Linked DNA regions of Drosophila melanogaster. The protein of the gene in region 2 purifies or fractionates together with the protein of the main gene of each other region. This does not show direct contact. Each region holds a gene or a part of one and is shown on either strand. Other genes may lie near its edges.

Region 1 (4,023 bases), 7.5 Mb from region 2:
AGACAGCCGCCAAAAAAAGTTTTCTTTATATAACAATTCATTAATTACCTTTCGATTTCTGGTTTTTACCTTGGGCGGAGTCATGAACCCGACACCTAATGCCATTAGCCCAGCCGTTGCGGATCTGGGATTACAATATTCGAGTGTTTGGATCGTTCAAGGAAATAGTTTTATTGCCAGCATAGCTGATGCAACTACAAGTTGTTTCCCCAATTCTAGTATCTATCGTATTTTGCCTTTGTGGGCACCCCAGGAGCTTGGCCGTTTGTTGAGTGGTTCAGGTTCTGATTATTGCTGTGATTTGCTCCACTATTACTACTTCCTGCCGGCGAGGAAAGGGTATAGACCTCATAGTCGGTGATGGTAAAGTTATAGTCCCCGAAAAGTGTCAGGTGAGCAGCGTTGGTTCCGTCGTAGGAATGCGGAAGATTCGAGTATGAGTCCATGTTTGTATTACAGTTGCTGGAAATGAGCAGATCGGCTCCAGCACCAAAAATGGGACCGCAACTAAAGGGGAAAGCAGACATGGTAATCAGTACGAATTCCTAAACATAATGTAATATATAAGATTATTTTAGACATCACTTACTCAGGATGATAGCAAATGGCATATGGTTTCTTTACAATATCAAACTTGACCGGCTGTTCCCCATTGGCTGGATTCAAGGCAAAGAGGAAGGCTCGCTCGGACTGAACATATCCCCCCTTTCGGCTTGTTTTGGCCCACGCCACATCCGTATAACCACCACTGATCTCTCCATGCGATCCCAAGCCAATAACCATGCAAGGAGCCACGCCGTCGCAATAACGATGAAAGGCTCCAGAATCGTAGCCATGAGTGGACGCTCGGAAAACTAATCTCCAGGATTGCTTGCCCACTCCAACCCAATTATTGAGAACAGTCTGTAGTGCCAGATTGTCATTCTTCAGGATTTGGGATCCGGGAAACATGTTGACCGCTACAGCTAGGCGGGGCTGAAGTCTCTTATCGTTATCCATCATCTTATTGGCATGCAAAGCGGCATAGCGATATCGTTCTAGGGATAGTTCCATAGGTACAGCTCCTGTAGGTTCCACTTCCTCCGCGAAAACTTGGCTATCGATGAGAAGCAGACGCACGTGACCCATTACACCGCTTAAGTGTTGGCAGACACGAGCACGCTCCTCCTCAGTCCAATGTGCAGTGGGTTGGGTGACTCCTGCCTGGTATTTGGCCCAGGATAAAACGCAGCGCCACACTTCCTCCTCTTCCAAGCAGAACTATTGGTAGTTAACAGTTTTGGTAATTAAAGAAATTCAGTAAATTGAGTGGTTATTCATTATAAACTCTTACATAGTCTGAGGAAATAATCTTAATAATGGCATCCTTTGTTAAAGTAAGGAAGGCATTAGTCTTAACGCACTCATTTGCATTTTCCCCTATGTAGATGATGCAGCGTTCCATAAACGAGGCAGCGCATTTGGCACCTGAAATTTAAAGGGAAAGTTTAAAATTAATTCCTTGTTTTTTAAAGACACTCAACGGCTTTTACCTTGAGACAGCATCCTATTCTATATGTCCTGAAATCGGATCGTATTTGCTACCTTACCCATTAGAAACACTTGATTACAGAAAGTCTACCATTTATTTCAACATTCGTCTTCAGATATCGGCTTTACATTTATTTTACTTATATTAAGGGCGTTCAGCGTTTGCAGGTGGAATTCGAAGGATTCGCAGGATGGCCGCTGAGTCGCCTAGTCCTTCGTGGGACTGACGTTCTGTATGAGCGTGATGTTGTCGCCCTTGAGCATGATCCTCCCGAGGTTGCGGCGCTGCCGGGTCTTCACATAGACTTCCTCGGCGTCGTCCAGCACCAGATTCATGTACTCATCGAATCCCACAATGTGGCCCTCGATGCGCAGCGATATGTTCTCGTATAACCAAACTTGCACGCGGGACCGGTTCTGCAGGTAACGGAAGATCAGGTTGATGGGCTGCACCATCACCTTCTGCACCTTGGGATTTCCTTTGAACGACATTTTTGCTGATTTCCGACGACTTAATTTGAGTTAAACAAATTTTCGCTTCTTTTTGCCGGCGTCTTCTTTTCGTCCAGGCGATAGGCAGAAATATCGATGGCACAGCACAGATGGTCACACATAATCGCGGCCTACCGAACTATCGACCAGCCTAAAGATACCAAAATGGTAAATCCTCTGGTAGCATAACCATATCGATAGAAACACTATCACAATCGCACTGTTAAGTTTTTGTGGTTGGGCAGAAGTTGTTGCCATTTATTCATAGCTGAATTAAACTATAGTTTATAAAGAAAACCAAACAAATGGCTATGGCTAATGTGGACAAAGGTGAACTTATGGACCAGGTTAAGCAACAGATTGCTGTTGCGAATGCCCAGGAATTGCTCACGCAAATGACCGAAAAGTGCTTCAAAAAATGTGTCAATAAGCCGGGAACTTCCCTCGATTCGTCCGAACAGGCAAGCTATACATATCTTATTTTGCACTATAGAATATGTATTTAAATAGTATTTCATTAATATCCAATTTAGAAATGCATTTCCATGTGCATGGACCGGTTTATGGACTCGTGGAACCTCATTTCTCGGGTGTACGGCCAAAGAATACAACGTGAACAATCCAAGTTCTAAACACACGAATCGGCTTCTGCATTTTGGAGCAGCTTGGGACTAACTATATCTGCCAGCTATTGATTAGTTGTTATATCTAAAGTTTGATAATGCAATAAAAACATGCATTGCGTGTTACGTGATTCTGATAACACAACGTGCATATGTTTTTTCTTATCGATATGTGATGTGGTACAAAAAATACCAAAACTTTCAGAATGGTTAGTCTCAATACATTTGACATAGCATATTATGTAGAATGTATAAAGTGTTTTGGCGCGAATATGCAACTTCACATAATTGCTTACTTTTAAAGGTGTGATTTTCTAAAAGAGCTACTCAATATTACTAACCTGCTTTTTCGTGTATATCCATAACGGCGGTTAAAAATGTGCAGGCATTATCCACCGACAATGTCGATATAACGTGATCCTCGCAGGCAGTTCGTAGCTCAACCACACCGATATCCTGTGCCAATATCATCATTTGAAATACTTGCGAGTCCTGGAGAACCAACTGAAAAATGAATTTTGGTTATAATTTTATTATGTTAGATGTTACTAATAAGTAGTTTTCTTACCTTTGCGGTGTAAACGTACAAGATGAACTGCCTGAATAGTTCCGGATTCACGTGTGGTAATCGTATGGTGGTCGGAGTTGAAGCTCCTGGGGCTGCTGGCGATACTGTGCATCCGGGAATTCGACACACTTCACCTCTCTTCGCAGTCTTGAAGCTCTTGCACCTGAAATCGAATTGAGTGAATGGAAAGGCAAGACAAATTAATTAAGTGACCAACTGGAATACCCGGGATTCCAGCACGCAACATTGTAAGATTCCGAAAAAGGCAACCGTAGGCAATTATCTTATTCCACAGAGAAAAATTATACAGTTATTGGCATTTATAAGATTTTAAGGTATCACCAAAATTTATTAATCTCTTAAGTATTTGTTTGAAAAAACAATTTAACTTACCGAGCCATTAGCATTAATCTATGGGCATATATGCGCTCATCTCTGCCACAAATGAATACCACATCTGCACTATCCTGATCCTCGGAAAGGCGCTGCAGATCCTCGATCAACTGGGGCAGACTCATGATTGATTTTTATTATTAAGTGCGGTATTCTTGGGCTCAAAAAATTGCAATCATTCGTGCAGAAGTGCACGTGTTGCCTTGTCCCTCTGCAAGCACTGGGTTTTGTTATTATTTTGCGATTGGGTTTGTTTATGTTTTCAACTTGGAAACTCTCTTTATTTCTCTCTTTTAATCGCTGGATTCGTGGGAGCGCAGAAACCGGTTCCTGGCTGAAAATTCTTGGCCGACACCAAGCCACAATCGATTTGGCAAACAATATGGCCTGGGAAACAATTGCAACAAGATTAAATGG
Region 2 (5,610 bases):
CCGATCTTCCCGGTGCAATCCTCGATCCTCGATTCTCGGTGTCTGGGGACTGTTGGGCTGGCATATTTCATTAAAAGCCGGGCCAGAGGGACGGCATCAGGTAGAACAGCAAACAGAAGCTCTTTTCTGGCATTTCGTTAATGCGCCTCCGTCTCGATCCTCCACTCTCCAGACTTTATTGATCAGACTCCAGTTTCCAGCCAGTCCCCAGTCTGGCCGGTATCTGGGCTGCTTATTTATGGGTTTACATTAGGCTAAACCACTTTAGTCACACTTTGATGATCGGCATTGTAATTTCGCCTCCGGTTCTTCGATAATGGCAAGCATTTTGGGTGGCTTAACTTTTGGCCCCGAGCGAAAGCTCAATGATCGCCCCCGATACCAGTCCCTTGGTGGTCCCCTGGAGAAGTTGACGGATTGGCCAGCGACGTTCCAAGCTTGGTCGTTTACTTTTGGTTCGATAAGACCAATTATTATTTTCGACCAGCTCTTGTAAGTCACCCAGAAATGTTTTTAACTAATATCACAAGCAGCTGAGCTGGGCCGAGTCGAGTCAATTCCGTAGTGTTTATCTCATTTAAGCTGCACCTGAGCCCTCCATTCACCTTCCAGTTGTTGGGTTGTTTGTTTCTTGGCGCCGTCTTTTGGACCAGGTGCGATAAGGCAGCATTCTTGTTGTTGGCCAGGCGCCGTCATCATCGTCTGTTTCTGTACCTCTTGTTCTGGGGTGTACGTTATGGACCTCTAATGCACACACTCCCAATTATAATTAGTTTATTCATATCCTGTGTCGAAGTTGCTGCCTCATTTGTTGTTCTTTTCCACAATCTTAATTCAATTTACTGCCTATCAGACGAAGTTGCAACGAAGGGTCTAGTACCCTTCCCCTACGCCTGGTGAATGAAGTTGGTCAACTAAGTTGTTGATCTACTTATCCTATATAATCCCTAATATGTCTACAATTTAAGGTATACATTAAAGTTTTAGGTCTACAGGCAGAACACGTTCCCATTTGAGACTATCTATTAGCTAAATACAATAAAAATTGTATGTACTTGAACTTTTGGGTAAAAATGTATTGACACATGGATTTCGAGCTCTCCAAGGGCATTCGAGATTCGCTCCCAGGTAGCAAAAATTACCCCGTGTCCACCCTAATGGATCAGAGTGCCGGGACGGTAGTCCAAAGGTAGACGCAAGTTCAAATTGTGACTCAGAGCCAGGATCAGCAACTCAAGACCCACACAGAAGACCAAGAAGTTGTTGATGGTGAATGGCGATGCTGTAGCTACAAGCTTAGCCCGTGTTGGTGATGTTGATGCGGGGCCAATTACTCATAAAAAGCATGTTAAGAACAGCAGTCGCAGTGAGGAGCTATAAATTGGGACCGGAGGGGATCGGGGATCGGTGATCGGTGTTCGGGGATCGGGGATCTGGGGATTGGACAACTGTTGCCCGACGCCATCTCCATCTTCGACTGTTCCGCCCTGCCCTTTGTCATTGTCTTGTGTGGTTTGATAAGCGAATCCGAGGCAGACGGTGGGCAATTTGTGGACGACGACGTTAATTTCTCATGTTTGCATGTTCCATTTAGCGAGGGGCAGGGGACAAGAATTAATGAAGCACATCTCAAAGGGCCCTGGCGCCATCTTCCCGCTGGAGAAGATTTCTCTCGGGGGGTGTGTTGCCATCAACGATCAACAATCAACCGACATCCCTTCAAAAGACAGCGCCCCAAATTGGGAGCTGTCGAGCAATCGAACAACAGCGAATCAAATCAAATCAGAGTTCGTGTTCAGATAGCTGCCAAAAATTCGGGTGTATATCTACAAGATACAGTATCTAAGGTATCTGGCAACAAGTTTTAATTGTATGTTGCCGTAATTGAATTGAACTACATTTCGGTGGAGAACATATTTTAATTTTACGCTGTACGGGACAATCTTATCGAATCTTTTCGGTATTATCTATTGGGAATGATGCTACCTCATAGATACAAATACACTGCGACCAACTTGCGTCACAAATTCGTTTAAACTTGTGCTGACAAGTCACATGAGTTATAAGTATTAATTAAATCAGTTGGCCAAGTGCCCGATTATCACCAGGAAAGAGGGTCCCGGTTTTCCTTTGCCTTATCAGGACCCACATATCTGTCTATATTTGTGTTATTTTCACTATATATTCGGGGCCCTCGTCCGCGTCACGAAGCTAAGTGGTCAGTGGCTTTTGACAAGATTATCGGCGGGTGATAGGTGTGGCTGGTTAATTTCATTTATTCTGTAGGTACACGGGACAAGCATAAGACTATGCCCCCAACTTTCGACCAAAACCACCTCTAGAAGGGAAAAACATCAGCTAGACAAAACGTGATTTATTGGCGCTGACTGCACTGCTGACAATTTGTACTCTTTAATGGTGTTTAATTAAAACCAATCAGCGATAAACTTATCGAACTATCAGCTAAGGCAAAGGCGAAATCTTTCGACCCTCAAAATTGAGTTAATAAAATTCTATTCTACAGCGATGATACGATTTGGCTTGATATTTGTCTGATTTGATATGTCCAGGTGGGAAATTAATCAAATTTAATGATATTTATGTCTCGTCATACGTTTTATTTTTCCCTCTTCACATTGATTGGGATGATTAGACAGGTGAATTATGAAATTCATTTATGGCTTATACTTGTAGTATTTGTCTATCATGCTGAGAAGTAGGTTATTCGCAAGGTGTGATAATAAGTTTATGTGATTTGGGGATCGGAAGTGGCGGAAAAGGGTCAAGATTAGTTTAGGGCTAAAACAAAATTTATATAAATTGCTTGATTAAGAAAATCCCTATCTTTGATATGATATAAGGCAATGACTACGGTTGTGATAAAAAATTATGAGTTACAGTAACTAGGATTCCCTGTTTAATGCACGCTCTCGATATAACAAATCCTATTCTGTCCAAAGAATGTTTCATATATTTTTGATAAAATGTCTGAGACTAACCTTCCTTCTCCTCCTTAATCGCCAGATATTGTACGGATGGTCTTGATAATGTTTGGCCTTCTGAATCTCTCTCTTCCTATTTAACCGGGCTAATAAGCCCTGTAGCTCTCACCAACAGTAACTTTTGCCGACGGTCTTTTGTCCACTTCTTCCAACAACCAGATACCGAGTACCAAGCGTTCACTTTGATCGCGATACACCTTTGATGGGTATAACTTTGTACTACGCGCAGGATACCGACACTTCCGCAATCGTACGCACTTTAACCCGGAAACAACAATGTATCCCCAGCTCGACTATTCGAATCGGAATCGGAACCGAACGCGACGAGATGACCGGGCTGTTCCAGAGCCGGCAGCAAACTACACGGTGAGCAGTTGGCGCGCAGGTGAAAACTCTGGTGGGTCTGAAACAACAACCGGTTGGAGTTGTTGTTTTCCAATGTTGCGAGAGTGGTTTTCTGGCCTCCCAGTGTTTTTAGTGTTTCGTAGTGCCGCAGAGCGAGAGGGAGCGATGCGATCGGAGCATGTCGATCGATCGTCGCAGGTGTCGCAGGTGAGGCGGCAGGTGGCCGGGAGGCGGACTCCGCCTCTTTCTGGCGGTTCGGCCTATGGGAAAGCAGCATTCGACGGAGCGAAATAATGGCGGAGCTGCTCTCTACCGCTCTCTGTCGCTCCGCATGGCCCTCTCTCTCGCGCCTCTTCGATTGGGCGTAATTGAATAAGCCCCGCACAAAGTGCAATAAATTTGATTAGCAAAATGGAAATTTATTTGCCCCCCAGCTCAACGCGTTTTCCTCTGGTTGCCATAGATGCATTTGCCAGTTGTTGCGGCTCATAAATTAAATAATTTAGCCAAGACATATGGGAAAAAGAGTTGCGTGTATTGGGGTGGGGACTTGGAACCGGCCATATAGACCGTTTTGGTAGTGTTAAGGGCCTCGTTAATGACTTTGTTGGCTTTATTGGATGATTGTCGGACTGTAGACTGTTTTGCTTACCCATCGGAGTGGGGGTGTCATGCGGGGAAGGGCAATAACTTGAGAAAAAGGTCAATGAGCCAGCTATGTAGATGACTCAAGTTAAATTTGAATGAAGGATGTTTGGAAAAGCCGTTGATAGTTTTTAAATAAGTGAATATTGATTTAGATTGATACAACGTGAAATACAAGCCATAGGCTTGTACATCACATCATTTTTATCACATCCATCTTCGTAATTTAATGTAATCCAAGGAAAAATGTTTTCCGTCCATGATGAAAAACTGAACTCAGCCCAGCTCTTGCCATTTCCGAGCAGACCTAACAGATTCCATTCCTTGATAACCACTTCATTAGGCTTTATATAAGCGGGCCTTATACATCCACAGATCCATTCCAGCGGCATTTTGCACTGGAAGCGTCCCCCTCCTTCGACCATCATTCGCTGCCCAATTTGCTTGTATCGCAAGGCAATAAATAAAGTGTTAATGGCAATTGCATACAAATAGTTTGGTGTTGCCATTATATGGCCATATTATCCCATTGTCGGGCCTTAACAAGAAGTAAACAATGCGACGCTCTCCGAGTTCCATTGCAGATCGGAATAGGGATTGGAGTCGGAGTTGGATCGAGTCCGCTGCACTGCTGCCAATTTCACGCTTCATTTACGGGCGAAATGCAAACAAAAGACCAGCGACCATCGACCGTCGACGGACGAGGAGTGACCATTTGTCCGACGAGTTCAATGGACAGCAAACTCGGACCGGGATCGGGAATATCTGGTACCGAGCACGGTATCTCTCGTCCCCATGTGGCCGTGTCAATCAGCCCGTCGCGCAAGGTGTGCACTTATTATACCCAGTGTTCGGGAAGAGCAAGGGCTTGATGTATTTACCCTTGAATAAGATGGTATCCTCACAATTGAACTTCATTTAATTTATTTTAATCGGAATCCAAATTAGAGAATTGTCAGGTCTTTATATGTACAGATTCAGTCCGCAGCATATATGCTTATAAGAGGATATTTGATGGTTTATTCGAATAGGGAAATTTCGTAATTTAGCGGTGAAATGGATCTAGTACTAGGTATTCCTCTGTCTCAATACATCCGTGTGGACATTCTTCCCCGTTCGGACTCAATTCGGGTCCACTCTAAGCAGGCTCAGATCGCTCCACAGCGCGAAAGAGACGGAGGCTTAAAGTGAAAGAGTCGCGCATGCGCGCACGTCCTAATGTAATTATTATCTCAACAATTGAATTTCCGGTCCCGACTTCGACTCCGCGCTGTGGCTGTGGGTCTGCATCCACTCCTGCACATGGGACAGATGTCGCGCAAAACGCTACAAATGTGCACTTAATTGCGCAATTAAATAATTTTATTTCTGCTGCGCGTTTTCCTTTTTCTTCTTTTCCCCCATAAGTCGTTCGCCGTTTTTCTCCTGGCTGATAGCAAACAAATTGCAGCCAAGTGGCCAAGTCAGCTCGCCCGTTCCCTATCTGCTGTCCGAGGTGTCTTATTCATTATGACCATTATGCGGCTTAGATAGAAGAATTTACCAGTTGCCATTTGCCAGCTGGGAGAATGAAATAGATTTGAGGGGCTTGCCATTTGGTTAGACCTTCCAAAGATGG

Evidence for each region. Proteins that work in one complex are often made in the same cells at the same time.
Region 1: the proteins of al (region 2) and CG34132 purify together in Drosophila melanogaster (affinity purification with mass spectrometry, with the first as the bait; 2 studies listed by BioGRID). This does not show direct contact.

What each region holds. Positions count from the first base shown.
Region 1 is NT_033779.5:7,883,322-7,887,344, forward strand, and holds CG34132 (uncharacterized protein), read left to right. Parts: upstream 1-2,181; 5' UTR 2,182-2,327; coding exon 2,328-2,483; intron 2,484-2,555; coding exon 2,556-2,654; 3' UTR 2,655-2,788; downstream 2,789-4,023. Other genes in the region: CG7102 (uncharacterized protein), read right to left, coding at 216-507, 590-1,260, 1,334-1,467, 2,987-3,149, 3,214-3,376, 3,607-3,731; small ribonucleoprotein particle protein SmE, read right to left, coding at 1,738-2,022.
Region 2 is NT_033779.5:375,871-381,480, reverse strand, and holds the start of al (aristaless), read right to left. Parts: upstream 3,370-5,610; 5' UTR 3,000-3,369; intron 1-2,999. UniProt on the Drosophila melanogaster protein: Involved in the morphogenesis of proximal and distal pattern elements in a subset of appendages. Also has a role in early imaginal disk development.